Ovis aries: one gene and its partners. The protein of the gene in region 1 binds, or shares a complex with, the protein of each later gene. Links are inferred from orthologs where the notes say so. Each region holds a gene or a part of one and is shown on either strand. Other genes may lie near its edges.

What was found.
Region 2: the proteins of ABL1 (region 1) and SH3BP1 are in contact, whole or in part, in a crystal structure (PDB 1ABO), measured with the Mus musculus proteins. The link is inferred for Ovis aries from reciprocal best matches to the Homo sapiens genes ABL1 and SH3BP1. Residues at the interface, in NP_033724.2 of Mus musculus: Tyr70, Phe72, Ser75, Gly76, Asp77, Thr79, Asn94, Glu98, Trp99, Trp110, Pro112, Asn114, Tyr115; in NP_001303613.1 of Mus musculus: Ala607, Pro608, Thr609, Met610, Pro611, Pro612, Pro613, Leu614, Pro615, Pro616.
Region 3: the proteins of ABL1 (region 1) and CRK are in contact, whole or in part, in an NMR structure (PDB 1JU5), measured with the Homo sapiens proteins. The link is inferred for Ovis aries from reciprocal best matches to the Homo sapiens genes ABL1 and CRK. Residues at the interface, in NP_005148.2 of Homo sapiens: Tyr70, Phe72, Asp77, Asn78, Thr79, Asn94, His95, Asn96, Gly97, Glu98, Trp99, Trp110, Pro112, Ser113, Asn114, Tyr115; in NP_058431.2 of Homo sapiens: Pro44, Asp46, Asn63, Gly66, Pro67, Arg68, Pro69, Pro70, Val71, Pro72, Pro73, Ser74, Pro75, Pro80, Gly81, Ser83, Pro84, Ser85.

What each region holds. Positions count from the first base shown.
Region 1 is NC_056056.1:5,918,850-5,928,837, forward strand, and holds the start of ABL1 (tyrosine-protein kinase ABL1), read right to left. Parts: upstream 5,287-9,988; 5' UTR 4,657-5,286; coding exon of another isoform or gene 4,558-4,656; 5' UTR 3,952-4,557; coding exon 3,816-3,951; intron 1-3,815. Other genes in the region: umcharacterized LOC128092248 homolog, read right to left, coding at 4,558-4,656; EXOSC2 (exosome complex component RRP4), read right to left, coding at 9,411-9,491. UniProt on the Homo sapiens protein: Non-receptor tyrosine-protein kinase that plays a role in many key processes linked to cell growth and survival such as cytoskeleton remodeling in response to extracellular stimuli, cell motility and adhesion, receptor endocytosis, autophagy, DNA damage response and apoptosis.
Region 2 is NC_056056.1:215,309,659-215,319,853, reverse strand, and holds the start of SH3BP1 (SH3 domain-binding protein 1), read right to left. Parts: upstream 5,155-10,195; coding exon 5,096-5,154; intron 4,022-5,095; coding exon 3,979-4,021; intron 3,747-3,978; coding exon 3,642-3,746; intron 2,486-3,641; coding exon 2,409-2,485; intron 1,964-2,408; coding exon 1,852-1,963; intron 1,751-1,851; coding exon 1,674-1,750; intron 1,182-1,673; coding exon 1,043-1,181; intron 557-1,042; coding exon 488-556; intron 324-487; coding exon 233-323; intron 1-232. Other genes in the region: uncharacterized protein LOC105609488, read left to right, coding at 5,134-5,534, 7,064-7,319. UniProt on the Homo sapiens protein: GTPase activating protein (GAP) which specifically converts GTP-bound Rho-type GTPases including RAC1 and CDC42 in their inactive GDP-bound form.
Region 3 is NC_056064.1:22,467,230-22,476,768, forward strand, and holds part of CRK (adapter molecule crk), read right to left. Parts: intron 5,585-9,539; coding exon 5,049-5,584; intron 3,369-5,048; exon of another isoform or gene 3,296-3,368; intron 1-3,295. UniProt on the Homo sapiens protein: Involved in cell branching and adhesion mediated by BCAR1-CRK-RAPGEF1 signaling and activation of RAP1.

The DNA of each region.
Region 1 (9,988 bases):
GAGTCAAACACCATTTAGCGACTGAACAATGAACACAACCCCACCAACTAGAATGTAAGTTTGAGGAGGGCAGGGAGGTGCTTTTACCCACTAATGTATCACCAATGACTAAAACACATGGTGTGAGCTCAATAAATATTTGCTGAGAAAAGAAGGACACATTAAAGTAAACAAGTTTACTAGAGAATGCTTTCAATCCTGTTTTACCAACTTTCACAAAAGTGAATTTTTAGTCAAGACACTGAAATTTGGAAGGAACAGAAGGTCCATGAAACAATACCATGGTTTCCTTCCCCCCGTTGCCTGTACATATGGCTAGCCCTTTGACCTGAATAATCTTAGCAAAAAGCTGCCAGCTGCCCATTCCATTCAGGTTCATCACCACCACCACACCACACAACATTATTCTGGGCTTCCAGATTCATGTCTGGTCCAATACTGTATGTAATGGCTGCAAGTTTTTTAATCCAAACTATATGGATATTAGCCAACTCTAGAAAGATCAGCCTGTGAGAGATCAAGAACCATTTGCTCCCCTGGGAAAAGTATACCCAAAGTCTAAAGAAATTCACTTGTCTTCAGTTAAAACATGATCTAGGCAATTTCTTTCATTAAACAATATTTATCACAAAGAATTGACTATTTGGTTGAGATGTCATCAATTTGTTCTTTAGACCCTCCTAATTTGGGTATTACAAAATAGAACAAATTTGTTGTATGAAGTCTGAAACATCACAAATGCAAAGTAAAAAGTGAAAGTTTTCTGCTATTCCACCTAACTCCCAATTCCCTAGAGATTAACAATTATGTCAGTCTAAATGCTTCTATACTTTTTTCTGTACATGAACAAATAAATAGCTAATTTTTGTTTTACAAAAATGGGGCCACACCATGCAGACTGATCCCCCAATTGCTTTTTTCCACTTATCATTACACCGACAGCTTTCCGTGTTGGCATTTACAGTATGCTGGCAATAAACATCCTTATGTGATTTCGTATTTCTGTTTGTTTGCTCACTCCCCTACATGACTTCTTGATAGACTTTCTATAGCAATAGTTTAAAAACTTTTATCTCATGACCTCTTTACACTCTTGAAAACTAAATAGAACCCGAGTGCTTTTATTTATATAGATTATCTCATCAATATTTACTATAGTATAAATTTAAACTGAAAATTTTAAATTATTCATTTGTTCACCTAAAAAAAAACATGTTTATTTTCACTGGGAAATGCCTTGTTTACCCCCATTTGTAGATAACTGTAGATACTGTTCTTTGAAGCTACACCAAACTCAGTAAGTGGTAGTTTCCTAAAGGCTAGTTTTGATACAGAATCTAAAACTCTTATCAATTAATATTTGTATTGTTACATTAAAATTCAATGGTCCATCTTGCCCCTCGAATGAATCTTTTTTACCTGTGCTTGACTTTATAACATCATGTGTTGTCATTTACAAAATATCAGTTCACTGAATCATGCAGGCCTTCCAAATAATGTATTCCATTATAAGATACCAAAATAGTGTGTTTATAAATATTATCACCAATCTCTACTTCACAGGAGCAGATACAAGTTTTCCAAAACCCTAATTGTTGCTGGAAAGCAAAGATGTTTTCATTGACAACAGACACCACCAGCTGTTCTCCTTGAAACACTTTTTAATACATTTTAAAAATCTGAATAACCACAGTTTGTCAGTAAAAATGGTAGTCTATGAAAAAGCAGCAAGTTCGGCTTGAACTAACCACTGCCCAAAGCTCTTCCTAGAGACAAACAGCACACAGAAGTACTTTCCAGTTCCTTCAGTGAAGATTACAAAGATGTATACATAATACTTGAGAACTGATAAAATTAATACTTCTTGCTCTTTCATCAGGAACATCCTTAAGTGAAAACCAAAAAATATACGTATGTATGTATTTTTACTAGTTTACTATGAGTGCGTGGCATGAAGAACACAATGGCTGCTATGGTTAGTTGCCACAACCTTGATTCATGCTTAGAAGCTGCATTACTTTTGCACCATTACTGCGAAAATTGCAAATAATGTCTTGTGTGAGTGCATGCTAAGGTCAGCTCAGTCATATCCAACTCTCTGTGACCCCATGGACTGTAGCCCACCAGGCTCCTCTGTCCATGGTATTCTCCAGGCAAGAATACTTGAATGGGTTGCCATTTCCTTCTCCAGGAGACTTTCCTGACCCAGGGATAGAACCCTCAACTCCTGCATTGCTGGTGCACTCTTTATTGCTCAGCCACCGGGGAAGCCCAACATCTTAGAATTGTGTTTTTGTGAAAAGCTTTCACCTCTGGACCCTCTGAAGGGGTGAAAGGCACACCAAGGGCACTACACTATTCCATGCTAGGACAGCTTCCTAGAAGTGAGATTACTGGGTCACTGCTATGTACATCTTAAATTCAGATATGATTGGTCAAAGCTCTCCAAAATGTCTGTACCAGTTTTCACTGGGGGTGGCAGAGGATGAGATGGCTGGATGGCACTACTGGCTCAGTGGACATAAATATGAACAAACTCCGGGAGGCAGTGAAGCACAGGGAAGCCTTGCAAGCTGCAGTCTATGGAGAAAGTCGGACGTGACTCAGAGACTGAACAATTTTCACTACCTAAGGTTGCACGATCATCACTGGTTGAAATGCAAATAATTCACTTACAAATCTTGATCGTGGGAAGTACCATAATACGCTATTTACCTGTCTAAAACCAATGCTAAAATACAACTCGTGTTTCAAGGCAAAAGTAAAATCCAAGTACCCAGATTATTTAGAAAATCAAACCTCAACTGTCAAATACAAGTTCACTGAATAGAAAACTTTGTTTATTGCAGTCACAGGTTGTTAAGGGTATTTGTGACTGAATTTCAAAGTATATGCTACTTGCACACGTCTTCCATTTGCTTACAGAGGGTGGGTGGGCTTGACTGATACTTAAATAAGTACTAGGTCTGAAAAATGTCAGGCTGTGACAGTACAAACAGGATACTAATTAATTGGTGCGTGGCTGGCCCCTGGCACAGACATCGGTCTAAGCTGATCCTTAGCGTTAAAATTTCACGCAGAATTACTGGACGTGACCAGAATAATATGTACTGTCAGCACTCAAATGCCAGTGGTGTTCATAAAAATGTCAAAGACAACCTTTCTTGCCCCAAGAAAGGAGGAAAAAGCTCCATTCTGAGGATAGGACTACTCCCCGTCTCAGGTGAAACCACTGAAAGCTGGGGCTCCTCAGTTCACAAGGAATGTGGCCTCCCTTCAGCTGTTTCCACACAGCTCCAAAGTGAGGATTTTCAAGTTCTACTTATGACTGAAAAGATCAAGGTTATTAGTGTCAACTAGGGCCTGTGGTTTTCAGCTCTGGCGAGTGCACAAACCCCTTTGAGGATAAGATTGAAAGCTCCCCACAGATAAAGCAGTGAAGGATCCATGTACCTCAGAGGAAGGAAGAGCCCAGGCCGTAGGTCAGAGCAGAATCATGGACTATGGATCCTGAGAAATCCCCTAAGTCCAACCTTCTCAGGAAGCTGGAATAGTAAAATGGCTTGTCCAAGGTCAACGGTGAATTAGATAGGGAATCAGGCAAGAAATAAGCAGTAAGACTTCGAATAAAGCCATCCAGTGTCATCAAGTAACTTTTTCTTATACAAAGAAAGTTCCACCGGAGATTAAAAGATACCTAGAGGAACTGAAGTTTTAAGTAGAACTGGAAGGAACCAACACAAGCCCTGTGGTTCCAAAGTTCCTTACGCATGGCAAAGCGGAAAATAGGACCAGAAATCTTGAAGAGCACTCACCGTGTTCCACAAACACATTGCAGTGTGGACCCCCGTGCCTCGATGATTCCTTCTTGCCTGCTCCTTTGATAAAGTGCAGGGCAGGCAGACTTGGCCTCCTTTGGTCCCCAAGAACTTTTCCAGGCTGCTGCCCCATAAAGCAAGGATAGGCACCCCTTTCCAGAAGAGGGTTCAAGATCTTTCAGAATGATCAGTGAGCTGAGAAGGAAACGGTCTTTACGTGGGATTTCACATTCACCGCATCTCCACCAGTCAGTAACTGAGGTCAATCACAAGACATCTTCCACAATAAAAGGAAGTGAAGATTTTAGGTTGACGTGTGCAAACAGGAGTTCCGATTATATTCGCAGTTTATCAACTCGAAGTAATGTAACTGCAGTGCGACCTCAAAGTTCCTGGATTTCAAGTGTCTTTTACTGGCTAAGTTTCCTCCCTTTCAAGGAGAAAAACCTAAAGAGAAATATTCACAGGGGATGCTGTACAACGGTCAGTGAGGCTAAAGTCGTGTCGATTTCCACACATCGAGGAAACGTGGATCGGTCTTTGAATGCTCCTCCAGAACTTTTCCTGGGGAAGTCACCCACCCCCTATCTTGGTGTCTCCATCTTCCAACAAATTTCCTGCCACACTAGCTGCCGCTCCTGCTTTTTCTCTACTCTGCTCTCCGGAAAAGGACACGGGTCACCCCGACTTCAGCGGGAGCTGGCCCTCTGACGAGAAGGAATGCATGGCCAGCAACTTTTTAAGTCCGCTTTTTAAAAGGCCTGTGAAACCAGTCCAGGCTTTTCCTCTGCATTAAAGTTTCTGGCTGGGCTGAGGCTGAGGGGGCCGTAGGTGACATTGGAAGAAGTCAGGGCATTACAGGCTCACGGGAGCAACGTTGGGGGGCTGGGGAGGGGAGGCCACTTGACAGCAGGGAAGGGATTTGAATGAGGGGGGCGCTCCGAGGCCAAACTTGAGGCCGGGATTCGGAGTTAAGGGGCGGCTCGGGGGTAAAGAGGGAGGCTGCCGGGGCGGGGGGCACGGGCGGCTTACTCCGGGGGCGACGCTCCTCCAAGCCTCAGGAAACGGGGTGTCCCCAGGTCTGGGGAAAGAGACCACAACCCCAGGGTCCCAGAGCCGGGATGGAGCTGATACGGGACGACGGGCTCTCGCGGCCCCGAAGGCGGGTAGAGGATAGAACCGGGAGGAGGCCCGGCGGCCTCAGCTGCCCCGAGCCTGGGGGGGGAGTCTCTGTCCGAGACACCCCCCTCCCCCGGGCCCGGACGTGGCTAGGGCCGCCGCTGCCAGGCAGTCACATCCCCCGGGCTCCGTCGCAAGACCCGGCCTCCCCGCCCAAGTAGGGGCCGTGGACAACGCAAGGCGGGCTCCTCAGCTGCAGGACCCAGGAACCGGTTCCGGCTCCGGCGCTGCTCAGGGACGGTCACCGACCCCCGCGGCCGCCATGATGGATTACTAGCCGCTCCACAACGAGGCCAGGCCCCGCCCCGGCCCCGCCTCCCGATGACGTCCGGTGCGCGCTTCGCGTGGGGACCGGGACCCTCCAGACACCGCTTTCGGAGACGCTGCGGCTTCTTTCGGCTCTGGTCCCCCTGCCCTGCAGGGCCTGGCCCCGTACGATCTGTTAAATGTGGTTCTCTAGAGGGGCAAGAGGAGTGGTAAGGAAGCTCCCGCCTCCCCTGCACTGCCATTGGTCCCCGAGAATCCGGGTCAGCTCCCTCTCCTGCATCCCATTGGCCGACGGGGCTAGAGCTCCCAGCCAACCACTTTCGGCGTAGCCCGTGGGGCAGGCCGGGATTTGTGGTCCTACGGCGCCCCCGCCCCCGCCCGCGCTCGCCCGAGCCTGGCCTTTTGCTCCCGGCTCCTGAGCGTCGGTCCCGCCCTCCTGGGAGCCGGTGGACTCTAGCCGGCCTCGCACGGTGCTGGCCAATGTCTCCCTGAGCGGGTTGGTAAGGCCGGCGAGGAACCAAAGCAAGGGGAAAACTGCGGATTGGATTTCCCCAAAACCGGAGTTGGATCGCTTCTTTGAGCTTCTTTAGGAGAGAGAATTTAGTTCGCTCCAGGAAACCGACGTTATTTGGTGCCTCCACTGCCGCCCCTCACCCCGAACTTCCACCTTGACTCCAAGCAGCATAAATATTAGAACGAGCGAAAAATAAACAACTGGAGAGCATCGACATATTGCTAACGAATTGTTTCTTTGGAGTATCAGGGAGCCCACTCATTAATAGCATTTTAAGAACCTTTCGGAGGCATCGCATAAACATAGGTGTTTGAGTGAGAAAGAATCTTTAAACTGTCCACTGATGTATGTCAACTTCTCAAGAAAACTGGAGGTGGGGGGGAACAGCAGAAAAAGATTACAATATCTAATTTCAGGGGTGTACACATAGTCACATGAAAACATGTTAGCCGAAACTGCTGAGTTTACAGAACTAGCTAATGACCCGTGCAACCGGATCCACACATGCCATAACCCATTTTTATGCAACTAAAATGTACCCTCCTGGTCCCCTTCTTCACTCTCCAAGTCTCCCCAGAGCAATGCACCTGCCAGGATATACCCATCTCTAAGGGAATCCACTCATCACACCTAATCTACACTATGGTCTTCCGCTCTTCATAAACCATATTCTCATTTAATCCTTACTGTATTGTAGCCCAGTAACACAAGTAATGTTATCCCCTGTATACAGATGAGAAAACCAAGATGTGAGTTACTCAAGGTCACTGGCCTAGTCATGTGACAATTTGAGCCCAGATTGATACTACTCCAAAGCCTTGAATTTTCTCTTGTACCATTCAATATCAAGTAACTGTTGATCTAATGTTAGTTGATATTTTAGAAATTGCTACTGATAGTAGGGGAAAACCAGTAGCATTATAGGTGTTGCATGCTCAGTTGTGTATTTTAGAAATATTTCTGCTGGATTGGGAAATGGTGCTGATTTTATAGATACTGGCTTGTAAACATAGAGTTCCCTGGAGTTACTGAATGTGAAGCGAATTCAGAAGCAGAATTTAGATGTTAACTGGGTTAGCTTTGCTCTGTCACTGAGTAGTCTGGCTGATGAACGTCATCCTGGCTTATAGATCAGTCTTCAAGCATCAACGCCCTGTTCCCTCTATTTACCCATCATCTTATCTTTACCATCACCCTTTCTCTTTGAAGATTTCACTTTTTATTCCTTTTCACGCTTTCATCATTTCCTACGCATCTTCATTCTTCACTCTCTAGCTTAAAATTGACCAATCAAATCAGAACTCTAACCCACACTTCTTGAACTAATAAATCATTCATAAGCATTATTCAGCCCGTGTGCCAAGCACTGTCCTAGGTGCTGGGATACAAATGAAGCGCAGGGGTGGAAGGACTCATCCTTGTCTCCCACAGCAGACATGGGAGGGACAGGCAGTGTACAAAATGAGTAACAATCCAAAGTGTAGGTCTCAATGCTGGAAATGACATTTCTGGACCCCATATCCTTTCACTATCAGTCCAACCCCTTCTCTCAAGGGTTGCTTTATGATTCATCCAAAGAACTTAAGCCTACTGATCCATAGTTGCTAATGAGCTTTAATGAAGTCACTTTAATTATCTGAATGGCTTTCATTTATAAACGAGTCATATCAAACTTTACAAGGTTATCATGAGAATCAAATAGGACTTTATTTCCCATAAATATTGAGACTAACTATGCTTTAGAGGCCAGCAGCACTTGATTTAAAGGTTTATCCCTCCTCACAATTTACTTCCTGCTATTTTCTAGTTTTAGGTGAACCCCCAAGCCAGACTATAATATTTTTTTCCAGAGATGCACTGTGTAACACTGTAGAATGATATTCTTAAGGACTTAAAACTAGAATCCAGAGCCCAGCAAATGCCTGACAGAAGTAAATAAATGTTGCCAAATTTGAATAAATCCCTTTAAGCTCATATATTCCACTAAGAATGACGTAGTTCAGCCTAATTTTGTGCTCACGCTTATAAAGCAAAGCAACCTACACAGTGCTAGAGGAATTCAGAACCGGTGTAAAAACTTCAGCTTTATTTAAAAAAAAAAACAAAAAAACTTACTGAAATTATGCTTAACAAGGGCACCCTCTAGTGGGCCACAAGAAAAGTACCACTTAGTAGGTAATCACTATTCAGGATATACTGAGTGAACATTACAGGCTGGCAGCTTGGCAGACCAAGTGAGAAGGGCAAACATTCAACAAACCCACTTATAGCCCTGATCAAAACCAACCCAAACCAGGCATGCAGGCTCCCCTCCTTCCCCATTCCCTTCCCTTCAGGGACATACAACCTAGAACATGATCTCAAAAACAGGGAGCAAACCTACATTTGCAACATAGCCTGGGCAACACTCAGTTGACTGCAAACTCCTCAAAACAGGAGACAGACTGAATATTATAAAGACGTACAATTTAACAAAAAAGAGCTGAGCTATGTTTCAAAACTGTCATATGCTCCAAATCACTACTGAAACTGTCCTAGGGTTAAATTGTACTAGGTGTTCTGGGTTTAAATTTAAGGGCCTCTGTCAGAAGAATTTCTGTCTCCCAAGTCATCCTTCACCTGTATTTAACTCCCAAGTATTACACAGAATACAAGAACAGAAACAGTGATGCCACATACATAAATTAAAAAAAAAAAAACCAAACAGCTCACCAAATAGCACTCTCATATACTGACTTTAAAAGAACTGTTTACCCCAAACCCAAATCAGGGCACCATGTTTAGAAAGTCATTTGAAAAATACACAGGAATTCTAGCCATTCTCAGTTACACAGAACTTCAGTATCTAGTTTTTACCTTTCAACCCTGAATTATTCAAAATCAAATGCATTGCTGCTTCAGTTATAGGAGGAAAACCTTTTCTTTTTCCATCTCCACTTTTTTACTTTGTTTTCACGTTTATCAGAGCACCCAAAACATTCATTCTCTCTCTCAATTATTCAGCTTCTTACAGATCATCCTCAAAGGCAGAACAGATTAAGGCAGCCTGGCGGGGATGTACTTACATCTGTCACTAGGAGGAACATGTAACAGGAAATGAGAACCAACCAAGCAAAAGGCTCCCCGGTCGCTGTGTCCTTCCACTGACTCTTGGGCTCATTTTACCAAGCTACAGTCTTCAGTGTCATTCTCGAGATGCAGAGGAGGTGAGAATGGAGGCCAAAACTGACAACTGGGGGGATCAGGGAGGCTATGTTTTATATAGGGGCAATTTCATGGGGCACTGTGCCTGGTGAGTTGACAGTGACTACAAGACAAAAGATTCCCCGTATGATTCCAGGATAGGAGTCTATTCGGCTGGAACTCGGAATGCTTTTAAGGGTCTGAAACTACCCATAGCACCCGAAGTCTGTGGGCAACTCAAGGGGTTGGCAGCAGTAATCACATTCCCCCTCGCTTTGCCTTAAAACAGGAGAAAGCAGGTCTTCAAGGTAGAGGCAGCCTGATGTAGGTCCAGTGATGAATTTCCCGGTTCTTCACTGAGCTGCATGCAGGGACTGCCAATCAGATTCTCCACTTTCAAGGACTGCTCTGCTTGGGTCCACACAGTCCTGGCCTTGAGATGCTTCTTCTTACCCCTCCTGTTCCAAAAGCCTCTGGCGTGTTTCCATCACAATTTCCTCCATTATTTCTGGCTTTAAGATGTCTTTGATCTGAAAAAGAAAAGACAAAAGGTAATTTGTTCAGTCAGTAAGCACACCATCAAGCCAACCCAAATGTAGAAACCAAGCCTGGCTAACACGAGCCTTCCATTTTCCTTTCGTTTATCAGAGGCTACATATTGCAAGGAAGGATCTGCTAGAACTAGCTTAACAAATCAGCAAGGTTCTCTGGGATATAGCTAACAAGAACAACAATGCTATTACTCCAGCATTCCCTAGAAAGGCAGCTAAAACTGGGATGGCCAAGATGAAGTCCAGGGGGTCGCTGTCATAAACCAGCCCCACCTGGCACCTCCAACTGCCCACAAACCCTCACATGGATATCAGACATTGAGAATATTATTAGCATCTCGGGGAAAGCTCTACCAGCCAACAAGGGAGTCCACCAGGTGAGTTCATATTGGTGGGCATGGTGAAGGGACGTGGGGGGCCACGGAGCGGATGACACGGCACGCCTGCTCACACAACAGCGAGAAGGGGAGCCCTAG
Region 2 (10,195 bases), about 210 Mb from region 1:
ACCCCAGCCTGGGCCTCCGTCACTTCCCTTCTGCCTCCTAACAGGTCTCCATCCTGCCCTTTAATTCTATTCTGCATGCAGCCGCCAGAGCAATCTCTCCATCACAAATCTCACTGAGCCCTCCCCTGGATAGAACTCATTCCGGGCTCCCCAGTGCCTTTCGGGATGGAGTGCAAGCTTCTTAACAGGCCCTGAGCAGGGTGGGGGACAGGGGTGGGGGTCAGGTCCCCACCTGTTTGGCTGTGGTTCTCCCTCAGCTCAGCCAGGGCCGTGTCCAGCGAGCTCAGAGACTTGCGATGGTAATCGGCCTGAATCTCCATGAGCTGTGGGGACAAGGGGGCACCCCCCACCCCGGGGGGCGGGGGGAAGTGAGGGAAGCTGAGTCTCCTCCAGGGGCCACAAACGCAGACCCTTCCCTCCCACCACCTTGCAGGGGATCTCAGTGGCCCCCGAGCTCCAGGTGGCTGGAGTCTGGTCTTGGACTCACGTGGATGAAGTAGTTGGCATAGGTGTCCTCCTTAGTGGCAAAGTGGTACAGGTCGGCCAAGTACTCGTCCTTGGGGACAAAGAGAGCAGGGCTTGTACCAGGGAGGCTGGGGCCTGCTGGGGAAGCTTGGAGCAGGTAGAGGTTTGCCCGAGTTGTATGGGAGGGTTGGAGTCCACTCTACTCTCGCTCTGCCAAGGTTTGCTCCTGGGCCAGCCCACGGGAACCCCTCCAAGCTCTTGAGGGGCTCTCCTGTTCCTCTCCTCTGTGTCCATATACCCTCACCACTCTCTCATTCACTCACCCTTCACTCATTCACTCAGCCAACACGCCAAGATTCTCCCCTCCTGCCCTCCTCCCTGTCCCCTCCTGCCCAGGTGTTATGGGTATGATACAGACAGAAGCAGCTACCAGGTAACGGCTGAGTACACAGACCCCAGAGCCTGGCAGCCCGGATTCAAATCCTGGCTCAGCTGCTTCCTAGCCACACGGCCTGTGCAGTGGGGACAGCGCCCACCCCACCACCCCCACCCCCAGGAAGCTGCCAGTGCCCCTCACCTTGCACTGCTCCACCTTCCTCTTCAGCTCCTCCTCCTCCTCCTTCAGCGTCTCTACCTTGTTGGCTGTGGTGGTGTGGCTGCCTGGGCCGCCGCCCAGGCCCTGACTGCTGCCGGAGTTCTTAGCTGCCTGACTCAGCCTGAGGATCATCCCAAGGTGGGATGGTCACTGTTCCCATGGCACATTCAGAGCTAAGTGCCCCCCATCGGCCCAACCCCATAGGATTCTGGGGGTTGATAGACGCAAATCCCAGGGCGGCACAGGTCTGGGGTCTCGGCTCGGCATGAGCAGTGCTTTGGGGCGCCCCCCTGGTGGCGGGCTCGGTGATCCTAGCCATCCACCTCCAGAGTGGAGGGTGGGCGCCCTCCAGGGTTCTTGGAGGGTTGTTGATGGCTCTCCCAGGTTTTGAAGTTACCTCCAGCTGGCACAAGCATGTGCAGAGAGGCCCCATCGCATGCACCATTACCATATGTCTTCCTAAGCCCCAGGTGTGTGCACAAAGAAACACACTATATCCCTAAGGACCTTGCAGCATCCTCCTAGTTGTGGGGGGGGTGGTCTCGAAGCTCTGCGGCCACATCCATGGGCTGACCTAGGCGTGAACCACCCCCCTAGAGGCTGTGGCTCCCACCTGCTCTTAAGCGTGTTCCAGTCAGACACCAGCTTCTGCAGGCTTTTCTTGTGCTTGAGGATGGCTGGCAGCTCCTCCTGGGGGCAGGCGTGGGTAGGAGGTGGGGGTGGGGGTTCAGCGGGCTGCAGAGGTGGGGGCTGGGGGAGCTGGGGGCAGAAGGTGTGTGTGGAGGGGTCACCTCGCTCAGCCGGTTGAGTGGTTGCAGTACGTCCCTCTCCAGGGTCATCTCAAACTCGGCCAGGATGCGGGCCAGCTGGTTCTGAATGGCACAGCTCATCTCCAAGGCCTTCCTGTGGACACAGCACCCAGTGGGCCCGGGCTCCCACAGCCCCTCACCCCCTCTCTGGAGAGACTGAGGGCCTCTTCCCTCCCTATCACCTCCTGTCTCTTTTTTAAAAATTCTTTTGATTATGTGCATGGCATGTGGGATCTTAGTTCTCAGACTAGGGATCGAACCTGCACTTCTTGCATGGGCAGTATGGAGTCTTAACCAGTGGACTATCAGGGAAGTCCCAACCTCCTATCTGTTCTGTCTCTCCTTCATCTTCACCGAGCCCAATGCCCTCCCAGGCCTGGCTGCCCTCACTGACCTCTGGACACTGTTCCCAGCCCGGGCCTTCTTCCCACCCAGGTCAGCCTTCCACAGTGGGTGCCCTCTCTGATCGGGACTCTCTCCCAGCCCAGATCCCTCCTCGGCATCTCCAGGTGAGGGCTGAAGGCCCTGTCCATGCTCACCCCATGCTGGAATCGGGGTCCAACTCCTTGAAACTCTCGGCCATCGTGGTGGACAGAGCCATGAGGGGAAGCTTCTTCTGCAGGGAGAAGCAGGGGTGGCCGTGAGTGTGAGTACACACGCATGCTTGCTGGGCTTCCCTCAACCCTTCCCCACCCTCCCAGCCCCCACTCCACCGGTCTGAGCACATGGCAAGTCTCTTGGTGGCAGAACCCCAACAAGGCCTTGGGCTTGGACACGAGCGGCAGGAACCCAGGAGGGCCACGGCGACAGGTGAGAGTAGAAGCGAGATAATGACAAGGCACAGTGGAGGTGGCATCTCCGCGTGACAATGCAGAGCCCCGGCCCACCTGAGGCCCCCTTGCCCCCTCCCAGAAGCCACTTGAATGGGTAAAAAGGAAAGACCAAGTCCCATCACTGAATGGAACACTAAGAACAGGGCGCAAGGAGCTTGCCTGAGGTCCGTGCACAGTTAGGGGAGACTGGGGAGCCAGGAAGACAGCCTTGGAGTAGACCCTTACCCCTGCCGCAGGGCCTCAGCTGACCTAGCTTCTGAGGAATTCGAAACCCTCCATGGCTCCCTATTGCTCTGGCCATACTGAATGGTTGTCTGATTATAAAACATGCCTCCCACGTCCCTAGCTAGTGTTGTGGAGAGCACCAGTTTAGATCAGGGAGACCAGAGTTCAAATTTCGGTTTTGCCACGTACTAGCTGTGTGACCTTGAACGAGTCCCTCTACCCCTCTATCTCCATTTCCTCCTGCAGACAGTGCTAATAAAGGCAGCCTCCTCCCACGGCTGTTGTCAGCGTTCAGTGAGGCAAGGCATAGACATATCTTAGCAACAGACTAGCCGTAATCAGTCCATAAATACTGGCTGCTGATTAATACTAGTGAGTAACACAAAATCCAGTTCAAATGCCGCTTCCTTCAGGAAGCCCTCACAGGCTGCGGAGTTGAGAGCACCTGCTCTGGGTGCTGACTGGACAGAGCCGTTCAGGTGGTCAGGGGCCTGGCTTTGGTGCAGAGGATTGGCGCTGAGGGGGCGGGGTCAAGAAGGGGAGGGGAAGAAATAGGACCTCATGAGTGAGGGGCCGGAAGAGCCTTGGGACACAGCAACCTCCACCCCCTTGGTGCCAGACTCAGACTAGCAGGGTGACCCCAGCCCCTACCTCACTGTCCCACTGGACCGAGATGTCCTGCCCAAGCCCCTCCTCCCTGGGACGCCCACTTACCACCCGTTTGTCCATGTCCGCCCCGCTCTGGCCCTGCAGACAGGCCTGCAGCCGTTTGTGGACATTGTGCGCTGCTCGCTTAGCTGGCTCCAGCCGCTGCTCCACCTGGGAGGGGGTCCGGGGGTTATAGATCATGGGGGGTTGTCATCCCCCGTGCCCCACTGCCCTCTTCTCCTCCAGAGCAGAAACTATCTTTCTCTCGCTCCTCCCGGGGATCCCATGGCCAACAGAGTGCGAATGACTCAACTCGGGGGCCCCCACTGGCATCCCCTCCTGGGCCTCTGCGGACAGCCTGTACGGACCTGCCCTGCCATCCGCTGCCGGCCCAGGCACGTACCTGCTGCAGGTCCTCACCCAGGAACTCTGCAGTCTCCGGGGTGCTGCAGTGGGGAGAGAGGTTCTGCTGAGTGGGCCCAAGTTAGGAAACCCCCTGCCTCCTCCTGCCCCCCTCCCCAATCAGGGCACCTGAACCCCTGTTCCTCCCAGTGCCCCTCCCAGTCAGGCCGCCCTGGGTGGCCCGCCCACTCGATCCCAGTCGGAACACATTCCGTGAGGGTGGGAATGGGATACTGGGCTTTTTCCTCCTCCACCCAGGGCTGTGTCCTGAGACAGGGCGGACGAAACTGAAGCGGTGACTGGAGGAGTCTCTCTTCTGCTGACCCAGGGAGAGGAGGGTTGGGCTGGCCCCAAGAACGGGAAGTGTGCAAGCTCAAACTCCCAAGCTGCTGGTCACACAGGACTCTGGACTGTGGTGGCCGGCAGGGGCCCAGGACATGGGTGGACACTGCGGCTCAGAGAAAGGTGGCCTGGCTGCCCACGCTTGCACAGGTGTCTGTGCGGGTCTTTGGACACCCAGACCCCTTCCCTGGGCCCAGTGGGTAAGAGGAGAGAAGGCAGGCTCTGGGAGCTCCCTATATTTCCGGCCTCCATCCCACCAGCCCAGAGGTTTGTGGACTTGGGGATGTTTCCACCTGAGGCTACGAAAAGCAGAAGCAAGACAGAGAAGCAGGAGGCCTCGGGGCTGGTGGTGGCAGGAAGAGGCGCAGGGCAGGACAAGGGCAAGCCCCTCCTTCCATCACTGCCTGCACCTGGTGTCTTCTGTTCCCCCTAGGTCTGGGTCCCTAAGCGACCATCACCTCCCCTAGGCAACCAGGGATGGTTAACATCCCCATTGTACAGAGGGGACAAGTGAGGTCAGGGAGGACCATCCACTCCAGGGCTCCTAGAGACAGCTAAGACCCAATATCCTTGATCCTCCACCCACCCTCCAATGAGAGCTGGGGGTTCCCCTGCCCCAAAGGCCAGGGCCTGCTCCTCCTGCCTTGGAGGTGGGGGTGGCCTTCGGGGGAAGGAGGAGAGGTGGCCAGTCATAAGGTGGCTGTCCAGCTGTCCTTGGCCTCCCCAGGGTCCTGCCAGGGTGAGGATGGGGCTGGGAGGAAAGAGTTGACACTCACCGTCCCAGGCTGCCCGTGTGGGCCAGCTGCCGCATGCGATGCAGCTGCCTCTTCATCATCTTGGGGGCAGGCTGGAGGCCGCGGGGTCACGGTGGGGGTCGAGGGCCCAGCAGCCCCCGGCCCAGCCTGCCTCGGCCTGCGGCGCCTCTCTCGCCCCGGATGGGTGGGCGGTGCTCCTCGCTTCCTGGGCCAGCCGCGCTCTGGCTGCGGCTCGCTCTCTCCTCCCCCGCTGGCGACTCCGCCCCCGGCCCCCAGGTCACTCCTCTCTCCCAAGTTTGTTTTCTCGCTCTTTTCGCGTCTTCCGGTCCCCTCCGGGCCCCTCGTTGTCCCCCGCCGGTCCCGGCGAGTGTGGGTCCGCCGGCCGTCCGGCGATTCACAGGTTGTGTGTGCGGCCCCTCCTCCCCTCTCCGCCCCGCCCAGCCCCGGTGGCGGGAAGCAGGTAAGCCCGTTCCAGCCGCCGCGCCTGCCCAGCTTGGCTTCCTGGGTTCCTGCCCCACCCACTGGCCTGCGGGGCCAAGGTATAAATAACCTCAGCACCCTCTTAAAGGAGACACAGGGTTCCATGCTTAGGAGTCAGATGCCAAGAACAGGTCCATCCAGGTTTCCCAAAAGGATGCTGTCCTGCCACTCATTTCCCCAAAGGACTCCCTGGCCACCTGGAGCCAAAGGTCAGCCTCCTCGCCCCTGCTGGAAGATGATTGGCTGGCCACTTTGGCGTCCTGGGGCACCTGGCTGCCGTGTGCCCTGGGACAAGGCCCTGGAACTCTGGCCTCACTGCCTCTAATGGCCTGTGGGTCAGCTGTCCCAACCCTGCCCACCTGGCAGAGTGGACGAGATACCCCTGCCTTCTCCTGTAGCACCCGTTTCTGCTGGCATCTCCCTTTTCATGGGGGTACTCACCTTCCTTCAGCCACGGCAGACGCTCTCCACCATCCTGCTCTCTTCCGGCCTCAACATGGAGTTTCCTCCATCTATGAAGTCCCTTCACTGGGAGGACTTCCTCAGTCCCTGCCCTAACTTCTTGTGAGGCAGTGATGTGGCTGATGCTCTGACCTCCCCAAACTCAGCAGTAGTTATTTCTTTGAGCCTCCACCCAAAACAGACTTGGACATACAGTAGATGCTCCATGCGTGCGTCACTTTTCAGTCGTGTCCCACTGTTTGTGACCCAATGGACTGTAGCCCACCAGCCTCCTCTGTCCATGGGGTTCTCCAGGCAAGAGTACTGGAGTGGGTTGCCATGGCCTTCTCCGGGGAGATGCTCCGTAACTGCTAGTAAACTCAAAATGAGAGCCTTTGGGCAACAGTAGGCTCTCTTTACTCTGAACCTCTGCACCCCTTGGGCATCAGGAGTTCCGAGGGTAGGGGGCGGGGGGCCTGAGGTAGAGTCCTGGTTCACTCACTGCTCTTTGCCTTGTTAGAGCTTCAGTTCACTTTGAGGGTTACTTGAGCACCTACTACTGTGTATGAGTGGGCAGACTGGGGACTTCTGAGAGTAGAGCCTCCGATTTGGACATCTTGACACATTCCCAGTGCCCAGCATGGGCCCTGGCACACAGTTGGGCATGCGTTGGGCATGCGTTGGGCACTGGCTGCCCCTCCACTCTTTAAAGGGAGAGCAGGCAGGCCCTAGCAGGGTGTGGAGGGGCTGCGAAGGGAAGCTGAATGCGGAATCCTGGCCGGAAGTTGAAAAGTTGTTGGATCAAAGGCTCAGGCCAGGATGAGGGGATCAATCCCAGGCTAGGTTTCCTTGCCCACTTCCCTTCTCCCAGCTGGAAGGCCCCCCAGGAGGGATTCTTGAGGAAGGCAGGGCTTGATGAATGCCTTGATGGAAAGAGACATCAGGGTCCAATGTAGACTTGGCTTCTTAAGATGTGGGGCTGCTCTTTGCAATGTCTGGGTTCTAGTTCTAGCCTCTCTACCTTCGCTACTGGACTTCATGGTGACTCAGTTTCCCCTGTCTCTGCAGTTGTCGCAACCAGCTGTGTGAAGAATCAGGAAACGGAAGACTCCCGAGGCAGCAACGTGACACCAGGTGCCACTGTCCTGGCATATGGGAAACTTCCAGGTCCCCACCCTGTTCCAGCCTTGCCTTTGGCCCAGACCATACTGGCCTGGACTTGATCACTTCCCCAGCTGTTCTGAAGGGACTTGAGGGCAAGTCCTGGCTTGTACCTCTGTCCTTCCCAGTTTTGCCTGAGTCTGAGCCCCCAGCTCCAGCTTAAGGAGGGTTCAGTCCATGTGGACTGTAGCAGCAGCTGCTGTGGAGACAACTGGGCCACATGATCAGGCCATCTGAACTCTGGGCCTCCCCTCTGGGCTTCAGACTTCCCTCCAGCCAAACCCAAGAGCTTTTGCAGGAAGGGCACCTGGCTCTTCTGTGTCCAGCCTGGGTGGCACTGCCATACCTTTTAGCTGGGTAAGGGGTGTATTTTAGGATATAATTAAGCCTGAGCACACTCAGATCATCAACAATCATATAAAGGTTTGAAGCCCTTGTAGGTGGAGCATAAGCTGTTCCTTTGAAGGATGTTGTCATCAGAGACTTTCAGACACAGAGGTTTCAATCAGTGAATGTTGAGATCATAGTTTTAGAACTGCATATGTGGGACTGCAGAGGTCACCAGGCAATGACTTGCTCAGTGTCCTCCTGACGAGGGCCTGCGTGTTGTCTGGCTCATGCCGAATTCAGGGGCTGAACAACGTGCCACAGTCACAGGAGCTCAACAAACAGTTGACTTGAATGGCAAGTGAAGACATTGCATCAGAGGACATTTATCTCCAGCCCAGAGGCAGCAGGAACAGAGTTCACTGGTATAGACAGAGCTGACTAGCTGGGCTCAGCCTCTCACTAGCAGGGTGACCTGAACTGAGGCAGTTCACCTTCCTGAGCCTTTGCTCACTTGAGAATAATAGTTGCATCTACCTGATAGGGTGTTGTGTTAAATAAATTGATATGTAAAATGCTTAAGACCGTGCCTGACTTTATTATTCAGCCTGCAGAGTCAGGAACGGAAAGATCGTTTAACCCCCATTCCTGCCTCAGTTGCCCCCTTGCCCTCTGTATCCTGCTACAGGGGGACAATGGCACTTATTGTCAGATACTCTAGCACCTTCTCCAGTGAGGTTGGGATCATGGGGTTTTATAGGTGAGTAGACCCAGGCTCCTGGCCCACGTCCCTGGGCGGCTAAATGGTAGAAGCCAAGTTAGGAAGCAAATCCGACAGGCTCCAAAACAGCCACGTGCTCTCTTGCTGCGCCAGATGGCACTGCCTGGAGACTCCAGAAATGCTGGTCCCTGCCGGCCCCCGCCTCCCGCCTTAATCCCCGTGGCTGCTTCAGGAGGCCCAGCAGCTTCAGTGCAGATTGTCTGCAAAAACCTGCAACGGCATGGGAAGCGCCCACTGCTGAAGCTCCAGCAGGATGTGGGCAGGGAGGCCAGCGGCTGGCGTCAAGGTGGTGGTAGCAGGGGTCAGCGGTGGGGCCGCAGAACCGAGCAAAAACATCCCCTTTTAGACACTTGACAAAGTGTTTGTGGCCGGATTGGTGCTGCCGTCCATGTGGAGGCTTCTGCCCGAAGCAGCTAGGCGGGTGGCAGTCATTTCTGTGGCTCCAAAAACGTCCTCAAGCCAAAAGGACTTCCCAGGAAATCCTGGGTGGAGCTGGGGCAGGGACACACCACAGTCCCTACAGCCCTGGAGAGCATGTGTCCTCAACCCTGGCCCTGGGGGACAGCACCTGCCGGGGGGTGAGGAGGGTGGTGATGTGCAGTCAGTGTGGTCACTTCCCAGGACTGCTGGTCACACTTGGGCCCTAACATGTGCCTGCAGGCACTGGATAAGCTCCCCAAGCCTCAAGTTTCTTACTTTTACGGGGCTGGAGGGAGGGGCTGCTTGCTCCAGGCCTTGCGCAGCACCAGGTTAGGCCAGCTCCCCTCTTATCTACCTTGCTGGCCTGGAACCCTGCCAGGAGGCCTGTGGAGGATGGGGGCAGGGGCATCAGGGAACAGCAGAGACAGGCTCTCTGGGTGAGTGGCAGCCTCTGTCTCTTGGCTGCTATGAAGGGAAAAGCAGTGTCCTGTGCTTGCTCTTAGGAAAGCAGCTGCCTCCAGCGGCATAAACAGAAGTGGAAGTGTGGCTTCGAGGCCTGGGAAGTCCCACTGCTCCTGGGGTGGAGGTGGGGGTCACCCTTGAGGAGGCAGAGAACACTTCCTGTGTCCCTCTCTCCCAGCCCGAGGGCTCCGGAGGCTCTGGACCTGTCTAGATTGACACCCCGTATTTGGGAATGATGCAACAGGTGGTGGAGGCAAAGGGTCCTCTCTTCTGATTAGAGCACCCCTGATGGCCCCTCAGACAGATGCAGGCTTGTGGAGCACCTCCCGTCCACCTCCAGCTTCTGGTGGCCATGCTCCTGGCTCAGGGGTCTGAGGACGGGGCTGTTCAGGAGGCATGTGGCAGGACGGACAGGCAGACAGCTGGATGGGTAGACTGGATCGAGGGTGGTCTAAAAGACTGAACAGATCTTCTTGCCCCTGTGGTCACTGCAAGTTGACAGCCAGGGGGCCCTTTGGCCCAAGGAGTCTTCAGAGGGGACTTACAGGTCACTGGGTCCCTCCCACCTTTTCAAACAAGTAAACTGAAGGCCAGAGAAGGAAGCACCTTCTTCAAAGTCACACAGCCCACCAGAGCTCCCAGGCTCCCAGCTGGCAGTCACGCTGGCGCCCAGGCCCACAACAACCCTTCCATGGCCTGTGGAACACATGCTCCGAGAGGGAGTTTCTGGGACCCTAGGGGCATGCTACAGGGAGCACGGTTTTGTCTCATGTAAAAGAATAACATTCTTCTTAAAGAACATTCCAAGGAGAGATTATCTTTCTGAGGCATCATTTAAGTGTTTAGGCAGAGTCCGGCCCAGAGAGTAGGGAGGTGAACAGGAAGGAAGCCAGGAGCCTGAGATCAGGGTGTCTGCAGGCCCAGATGTGGGATGGTGGTCACACCAGGCGGATCTGACAGGAGGCTCCTGATTGTGAGGAGCTGGAGATGCCGACTCAGAGGCCTTGCTCCCTCTCCTGTGCCCTCGACAGCACGCCCTCCCCGTTGAG
Region 3 (9,539 bases), on another chromosome or scaffold:
GCCGAGTTAGTTCCTTGTCTCTCAACCCTATACCACACCCTCAGGAGTAAGTCTGCAAGTAAATCATGGCATCATCTGTAAAGAGGACTGAATGTAGTTACTTTATTTTCCTCACTCCCAGGGAACTTAATGAACACTCACCTTTACCAGTGAGTTCCAAGGACAATTAGAAAAAATATGACGTCCAAATGGCATTAATTTTTGGTGTTCCCTAAACAGGAGACACCAGAGACTGTGTGACCTCCCCTGCCGGCGCAACCCCAGGCGACTGCTTTTCTAGTTTCTATCCCTGCTGTCTAACAGGAAAGGCATCAATAGCTGCCAGTGTTTCTTTGATCCAGATTTGCTGCATGATTCCTGTAAGCTCAGGGCAGGAAACACATCTAACTCACTTTATGTAAATAAAGCCAGGGAAACCAAGTACTGAGACAGACTACAAGGATCTTGTTTTCAAATACTTTCAAACACACCAAGAACACATTTCAAGATTTGACTTAAGGAGGGAAAAAGGGGTCAGCAAACTAGGTGGCCCGTGAGCCACGTCCAGCTTGCTGCCTGTTTCTGCGAACAGTTCTGCTCTAACTCAGCAAGCTCAGGTGCTGTTTGTCTATGGCTGCTTTCTCGCTACAGTGCCAAACTGACAGAGGCTGCATGGCCTGCAAAGTCCTTTACAGAAAAAGCCTGCAGATCCCTGATCTGAGGAATACGTAATATTTAGGAGGCCCATCTAAAATCTCTAAAATCAGTGAAGACAAGTGAGGCCAATTCAGTCTTAATGATTCACTTGCCTCAGAGATGGACTGAAATGCCCATGGCTCATATTCGTGGATCATTGCAGGTCTTTGAGATTTAACGCGTAGGTATGCTTCCTGATGTCAAGCAGAAGCACCACACTGAAGACAGGTGTTACCCTGATTGTAGTCCGAGTCCAAAAAGATTTTTCTGTAGCTCAACAACTGATAGTAACTAAAACTAAGTTCCCCATCTTCTTGATGAGAGGTACACAGAACAGGTACATTTTAGCTCAACTTAAGGAATTTTCTAAGAACTAGTACAGTCAACAGGACCAGAGGTTCCCAAACTGAAGAGTCAGAGGCACTGCAGCAAATTCTGAGGGGTCCCACCAAGTATTTTGTATTTTTGAGGGAAACAGCAATACCTGATGTCTGTTATGCCATGTGAACTACTAACTCAAAACAGTTAACAATTTTGATATCAGATTACACTACATCCCTTTCAAAGATGTCATGTCTTTGCAAAGCTGGGCTTTGGCAGTTGCTATGATAAAAATCAAGTACGTTATGAAAAAACAGGTGTGGAACAGGAAATGAAGGTGGCAATGTTCCATATGATCCCAAGGTTTGAGAAACTTTGCTATTTAATGGGGGGTTAAGTAACTGAAACTATTTTATTAAAATGAAAATATTATTTTCTTTCAATTATGTTTATTATTTTTTCAAGTGGGTATGAAGTTATTACATATATAGCCAAGACCTGTCATGCAGTTCTTACACTTCCTAATCTCATTTTTTCTCTCTGGAACAAAGGGGAAATTAAGATCTTCACTTCACTTTTCCATATATAGGTCAAAAGGCCTAAATAACTTAAGGTTTCAGAGCTCTACATGGGGAGATGTAGAGTTAATATGGTCACTGCTGCATATAATCAGGGACCCATGGAACTTTACGTCTTCCCTATCTGCTACCAGAAGAACAGGTTCACACCTAAGTCCACCTGAAAAGCTCCTTGGTTACTCAGAAGTCTTATCTATCAAAGGCAAGAGGCCAGGCTGAATCAGAAAATGGAAGTTACATGATAGTACATTCCAAGATAATGTGATTGATCTGGACAGTCTACAGAGGCATGAAATAAACTTTAACACCTGCAATTTACAAGATAAGATTCATCACTATTCCAGCTCCCAAGGAGCCATGACTCATGAAACCAAAACCAATCAAACAGAAATCTCAGATCAAATCTAAGACCAAAAAAGTAAATGGTGCCTCTGCACTGTTCTAGTGCTACTTCCAGTGTGTCTCCTTCAAAATACATTTGTTTAAAATCTGTCTTTATTAGAAGCTCCAGGATGGAACAGATGGTGTCCTCCTGGTTCAGTTACATTCCCCCAGAGTTACAGTGAACCAAGGAATACCCTTACTTTGGTTGTTTGCTAGAATTAATGCCTTCTTTCCAACAACCTTCATTCCTACTAGAGAAATCTGATGGGTGGGAAAAGAGGAAGTAGTCATTGACTTATATTCTACTGGAGGACTCTGGTCACAGAAAATATACCATGCAGGAAACATCCATCTGTAAGGGGAGGACAGGTGGATCCTGAACATACTCTTTAAGTACAGAAACCCTTCCTTCAAAAAAAAAAAACCTTAGAGAGACACCGATATATAACAGTAAAAACAAAGCTGCTTTGACTGAGAGAGGTAACCCAGAGCGTTGCATCCTCAGCTACCTTCTGGGAAATACTAGGAGTCTGAACCCTTATTATACCTGGGGTTCTGTCCACTTCTAAAATGCAATGATTTCAACATCAATTTCAAGGTAACCGTAAAACTTCACTGAAATGTGCCTAGTTTGTCTACAGATCTAAACCTATAATGGGTCGACTACAGCAATGAACTTTTTTCTCATCTGAATGCGAAGGTCAGAAAGTCAGAGCTTCCTAACCTTATCTCCTGGCTTCGTCTCCACAGGGACTAGGCATCAGCTCCTATGGAAAACCAGAAATAGGAAAGGAACGCTGTCTCCCGGCACGGAGACCACACGCAAGGACATGCTGCCAGTTACACCACACAAAACTGACGGGAGGGCAGCATCACCACTACGAAAGAGAAAGTGCCCCAGATGCGATCTGGGCGTGGCTGAAAAGGCCACTGTAGATCTGGACTCCTCATATCTCCAACTAGTTTAAACAACCCATTCGATCCATCTCTTATTTTTTTTCAATAAATGAATAGGGGTATCTAAGGTCTTTTCTAGCTTTAGATTTCTGTGATGCTAAACTTACATGATGTTTTCTTAAGTACATAAGGTGTTTTTAAAGTTATTATTTGGGGTACTTGTTCTAACGTGAAAGAGGCTATCATCATCAGTCAACACATGTGGCTCCAAACTAATACCCAACCAAAAAAGGAAACTTAGTGACATCATAAAGCACTCTTCTACTTTAGTCTTTATTTCACAAGATTTAGGTTTCACAGTAGGAGACCAGCTCAACCATTTTGGAGCACTAAAGCCTCTAATTAAGGCAAGCATCGTTGGGGCAAACAATTCTGGGAATTCCCTGATGGTCCAGTGGTTAGGACTCAGCATTTTCACTGCCGTGGGCCCAGGTTCAATCCCTGGTTAGGAAACTGCTGCTGCTGCTGCTGCTAAGTCAGTCATGTCCGACCCCGTGAGACCCCACAGACGGCAGCCCACCAGGCTCTCCTGTCCCTGGGACTCTCAAGGCAAGAACACTGGAGTGGGTTGCCATTTCCTTCTCCAATGCATGAAAGTGAAAAGTAAAAGTGAAGTCACTCAGTCGTGTTGACTCTTAGATCCTGGAAACTGCTCAGTGAGGTCAAAACCAAACCAAACCAAACCAATTTTCTTTGAGAAAGGAATTGCAAATGGAAGCAAAATTAATGTGGTAACTATTCTCTCCTGGGTGCTAGCTAGCTATTCCCACACTCCAGCCCGGCTAACAGGGCCTGCAATAAGCGTCCAGAGTCACAGCTGTCACGGGCACAGCACCAGCTTGGCTGCTGCCGTCGTATGAACTTAAATGAAAACATGAAGCTAGAAACTTGTTTTCCTTATCCTCCAAATTCTAAGTGGGAAAAAGTAGTGTGACCTAGACAACATATAATTCCTTTCTCATCAAAAGCAGGACACAATACTTTTCAGTCACAACATGATCTCAAAATATACACATTTTAAAAGCACACATTTTTTTCAGTCAAACCTGTAGACCTAATCCTTCTTTGCACCCAACTCTTCAGAATGCAAATGAAAAATTTTAAATCCAGTAATATCAGACTACTTCAAATAAATTTCAGCTTACTGTACAGCCTTTTACTTAGGCAACTCCCACTCCTCACTGTATAAGCATGATCCAAAGGATTTTAGAGATTTCCATTTACAAAAATATATTAATACTTTAGCCCCTTCTCTGCTAACCTGCACCCCTGAGTAACTTCAGCCTATGCTCATGAAATTTAGCTACTTGCTTAAAGTTATCGTATCTGAAAGGCTCTGAAAGACAGGAAAGCATGCCACTTCTAGCTTTTATGCTGAACCACTATCTCTGCATAACTCAGAAAGACAGGGAGGGAAGGAGGGAAGAAGAGAGGAGGTAAGAAACAAAGCTGTGAGCACTAAAGACGAGAATAAACAACGTGATGGCTGGCCAGAGATGGGCTACCGAGGACAACTATTCACCAGTAAAGGTGAAAATTTACTCCTCAGGAGGAACTGGTTTCTCGAGGATAAAATGCAGCAAACAACAAAGACCAAGTAAACCTGCTGCTTCTTGGAACTGACGCTTTTGAGTATCTATCTCATTATACCTATACAATTAGTCATGGTAAGAAGCCCCAAGCCCCCTAAAGTAAAAACACATTTCTATAAGAAAATTCATTTAAGTATTTTGATAGAGACCACTTATACTCAAATTTGTGGAGCCCACTTATTTTAGATAACGATAAACAGAAAGAAACAGGTTAGAATGTAGATGAAAAAAAATATTTTAGGTTAATTCCTGTGAATTCAGGTAGTGTTATTAAAGAAGTCAAAGTATGGTTTAGTAAATCAATCAGAACATTCAGTTATACAGTTTTAAGCTCACTCATTCCAAAATAGGTTTTCTATAAAAAAGAGAAAACCCAACATTAAGTGCCAAGATCAGTACTTAATGGTAAAAGTACCATTCAACATCTATAACAATGTTACAATGCTGCTGCTTATATTCAGCATTCCTACAAAGCTCTAAGAGGTCTGAAAGGGAGACCCTGTAGCAGATCTCTTCTTTCTACATTTTGCACATTATGTACCTCCAAAGCCAAGGCTGTCTTGTCGTAGGCATTAGGGACTCGCTTCTGGATTACCCTGGCATAAATGGGCCCATTCTGGAGGTTAGGGAGCGGAGTGTTGACGCTGGGTTGGGCATAGGGCCCAGGCTCCGGCCCACCCAGTGGCTGTGGGTGGGAACCCTCCTGGTTACCTCCAATCAGAGCCGATACTGAGGCGGAGGCAGGTCTATACTTCTCCACGTAAGGGACTGGAATCATCCCTCTCTTGCCTTCGCTGTCCTCCGCATTCCACCACTGCTCTTCAGGCTTATCCCGGATTCTCAGGATGTCTCCTTTCTTAAAGGGAAGATCTTCTTCATCATTCCCATTAAAGTCAAAGAGGGCTCGTACATACTCTGCCTCTTCCTGCCTGATAATCACTCCACTACCCTGCCTGGATCTGGAAACTGGTTCTATCAACGTTGTAGTGTCCAAATAGTGTATTTTGTAGAATTCCAGTAAAGCAGGCAATGAATCAAATTCTTGATCTCCTATTCGGAGTCTGGAGGGACTCACCCCTAAAAAAAAAACAGAGCAGGGTATTATTGAAAGATATACTGGAGATGAAATGCAGATTTTAAGCATCTCCCCGTACATATTTACTCAATATTTAACCAGAAAGAAAGAGAAGGAAAAAAATCATCTAAATAACCCCTTCTCCTAACAGTAAACTAAAATCATACTTTGTAGCTCAAATGCTCCCTGGGAAGAAGGTGAGCGATCACTACCTGCAGCAGAGAAGAGACAGAGGCTGTGAGAGAGCAACCACGCCCGTCATGACAAGCTCACATATCGGACCAAAGACAGAACACTATGGAAACCTCTTGTTCATTCTCCCAAAACGTTCCGTGGCTATTCCATTTGCAGAGTACAAGGGTTCAAGGCTGTGTTAGTCTTCTTTTTCTTTTCAACCTCAGGAAATGTAGCAACCTCTCAGTTTTCATAGGTCCCAGCAGCTATCCCAACGAGGTGGGATATTTTATTCTCAATTTTTCACTATGCAAACAATGCTCTTATGAGTGCTTTTATTAATGAACATTTTTTATTACCTCCTTAGGATAAACGTCTTAAAATGCAACTGCTGGATCAAAGGGTAAGAACACCAAGATTTATGTTGCCTGTCGTCCAAAAAGTTTTATGATTTCACACTCACACCAGTGGATTATGAGTTCCCATTTCCCCCATGTCCTTGCCAGAACAGCAGGGGTGTCTCTTCTTAAATATCATCTTTGATTGTTTGATGTTTTTCACATTTATTGAATATTTGTACTTGTTTTGTGAAAATTACTTGTTCGAGTTCTTTGTTAAAGAGAGGGCCTAAACTACCCTCACCACTCCTATTAAAACCAGTCAGTCAAAACAAAAACCTAGCCAATCCATCTAAAAACCCTTTGCTGTTAACGCTGCGAAACAGGAACACTGCGGTAGCCCAGCTGTCTAAATTGCTTCGCCACTCTAAAAAATGAGACCAAATTATTTCGTTCCGTGTTAGACAACACTCTGTCCAGATAGACCAGAAAAAGTACATTTAAAATCCTCTAGTGGGGAGAGGTGAAGTGATAAACTTTGGAGGTTAACCAAAAGTCCTCAATACAGAATGTATACTCATGAGTGACTTCTCTTTCCACCCATATGAAACAAAGGCCGAGACACAATGTAGAGGACAGATGCACATTTCTTACATTGCAAAAGTCCATCTGTGGAATTCATGGCTATAAACTAAAACGAGTTAATAGCCCACAGTCAGTAATGTTGGCTGTCTCTCTGACTCAAGATGTTGAAATACATGCTCATACCCAGGATTGTCCATCTATGGCAAACACTCCTCAGACACCAGCAGAATGCAACCCCAATAGCTCCAAGTGCAGAACTGGTGACTGGAGAGAGGATTTTGGTTATGACCATACCAGAGCACAGTGGTGCTACATTCTGGAGTTTCTCTTCTCTAAAGCTCAAAACTGATGGGTAATAATTCCTACTCCAGCCTGGTAAACAAGGAAGACGCATGGCTACCTCATCTATCACCTCTAGGCTACAGTGATCCTTCAGGCCTGTGGAACTATGTGAAGGACAGAGTCAGTGTGAGCTCCAAGAAGACCGACTTTGTACTGCCTGGTCAAGAAAGCCTTAAGGGCAGAGTGGTAGGGAGAACCTTCGAGAACCTGGCTTAGAGAATTGTCCTGGTGACACCTAGGAATAAAAGTTCCCTTCCTAGAATTTACCCAACAATACGCCAAGGTACAAATGCCAATATGGCTTTCACTAGTCACCCTTTAGGGACCGTGTTCATTAATAATGAACATAACTCTCAAGTGAGGAAAAGTTACATGAAAATCTGTCCCCAGGTTTGAGAAACTCACAGCACAGCTGCGCATACAAATGCAAACACAGTGTGGCTGGTGAGCAAGGAGCACAGCAGCGTGTTTCAGGAAGACTTCTTCTCCCCTGGCATTCACTCCCAATTGGGGATGTACTCTACAAAAATCAGTGGCAACAACAAGCTATGTTTTAAGATAGAACAAAATTACTATAAAAGAATAGCTCCTTCCATTCCTGAATGGTTCGTTCTTTCCTTCTTTCGTTTTGCCACATTGGGAAACTTGCGAGATCTCAGTTCTCTGACAAGGAATTGAACCAAGATCCCAGCAGCAAATGCCTGGAGTCCTAACCACTGAACCACCAAGAACTCCCTCTTTTCCTATTCTAATGATGTTACAATTATTCCATAGAGAAATACCTGTTTTTGTGTGCCGCTGCAGCAGTTACATGTTATATATATATATGGGGCAATCAAGCTTCAGGAGAGGAGGGGGAACAAAATACATATACGTAAGTTCCAGATAAGCCCAAACCTCACCACAGCTATGTGCTCCGGCTCCTTTTCCCTAGTTCATCTCTTTCCAACCACAAACAGCTAAAGCCAGGAAATAGAAGGGCGGGAAAGGAAGGAGACAGTCAGTCAGTTTAGAGAACAGAACCAACAGCAGAGTTCTCCGAGCTGGGACTTGGAAAACCTCACTGACTTGTTCTCCATCAAACCTGTGCTGGATTCTAAATGTGCAGTTATGAACATAGTCAGCAATCAGAATCAAGGCAGTCAGAGCTATCTTTTAACCAACAGAGCTGTACACGCTCAACTCATCACTTCCAAGCATGTCCGCCCTCAGGTTACAACAGTTTTTACAATCCCCTGAGAGTTTTATGAAGAACACCCAAGAGCTCTGGGGGCTAAACAGGCCAAGGCACTTCTGGCATGGGCATCGCCACAGTGGCTCCATTATCAGTCTCTTAACCTCACACTTCCTCTCCTTTCCTCTTTCCTAGATTCTCATTCCCTCTCTTCTTTCTCCACTGCCTATGGTATTCATAGAGATTCCTTCAAAGCTCTTACCATCTGTTCACTACAAAAGACTAACAAGGCCACTGACTTCATTTGAGAAAGTATCCTGAAAAAGCTCTAAAAATGGTGGATATCCGCATGTGACTTTGCAGATTCAGACTTATAAAGTTTGAAGAATTCAGGCTGTGGTATTTCTAGCTATCTGAATTGTTATTTAACTTTTGACAGGGATCTACATAATAATAATTTCTATCTAATAATAGTAAGTTCCTAAAAGTAGATGGTATATTATAGATGCCCAATAAAAGGCCAATCAGCTTAATTATACACCCCCCCCAAACCTCTGAACACCTCTGTAAATTTTCAATTCTTCCCAAAGAAGATTCCATAGAATCTCAAGATGCTTCTCAAAAAGTTCTGTGGTCAGACTGGTTTGAAAAAACCACTGTCCAATACCTGCCTGTCTAGAGTCATAATTTCACATGAACATAGGGAAGGCTTAGAGAAGTCTGGCGATAAATAAACGCACTTTCTTTTACTACAGATTTTTTTGTGGGGGCAGGGTCTAAAATCTTTTAAGTAACTCACTAAAGAACTCCTCATAGAACCACTGAATATCTTTAACTCATTAAAGAGTAAATCATGAGGACCAGGTTTGAGAACTACAAGGATGAGCCAAACAAATGAAATAAATGCTGGATGTTCAAAAAGGCAGTAGTGGATAAGAGGCAGTCCCCTAGGATCTCCAGAAGTGGCCTGGCCCAGCACCACCTTGAAGAGGCAGCACAATCATCACCCTAGCATCTGCCTCCACTCCCAAAATGAGACAAGTTTCTATGTTCCCCTCACCCACTAGGGCCAACAAGTAGGAGGTTCTGGGCTGAGCAGGCAATGGAAGCCATCGTCTTGTTTCCACACACTGGCTCCAAGGCTCCTTCATACTGCCTGATGCACCCCCACCCAGCACTTACTCCTTCAGACATGCTGTGAGCCTCTCAAAGCTGAGAATTGTTTTCCATTCTGCTTCAGTTTTTCCCTCTCCACCACATCTGTTAATATACCTAATGGTAGTTCCATTCCTAAGCATTTAATATACTAAAACTCATTTAACCCTTGAAATAACCCTGTCAGTA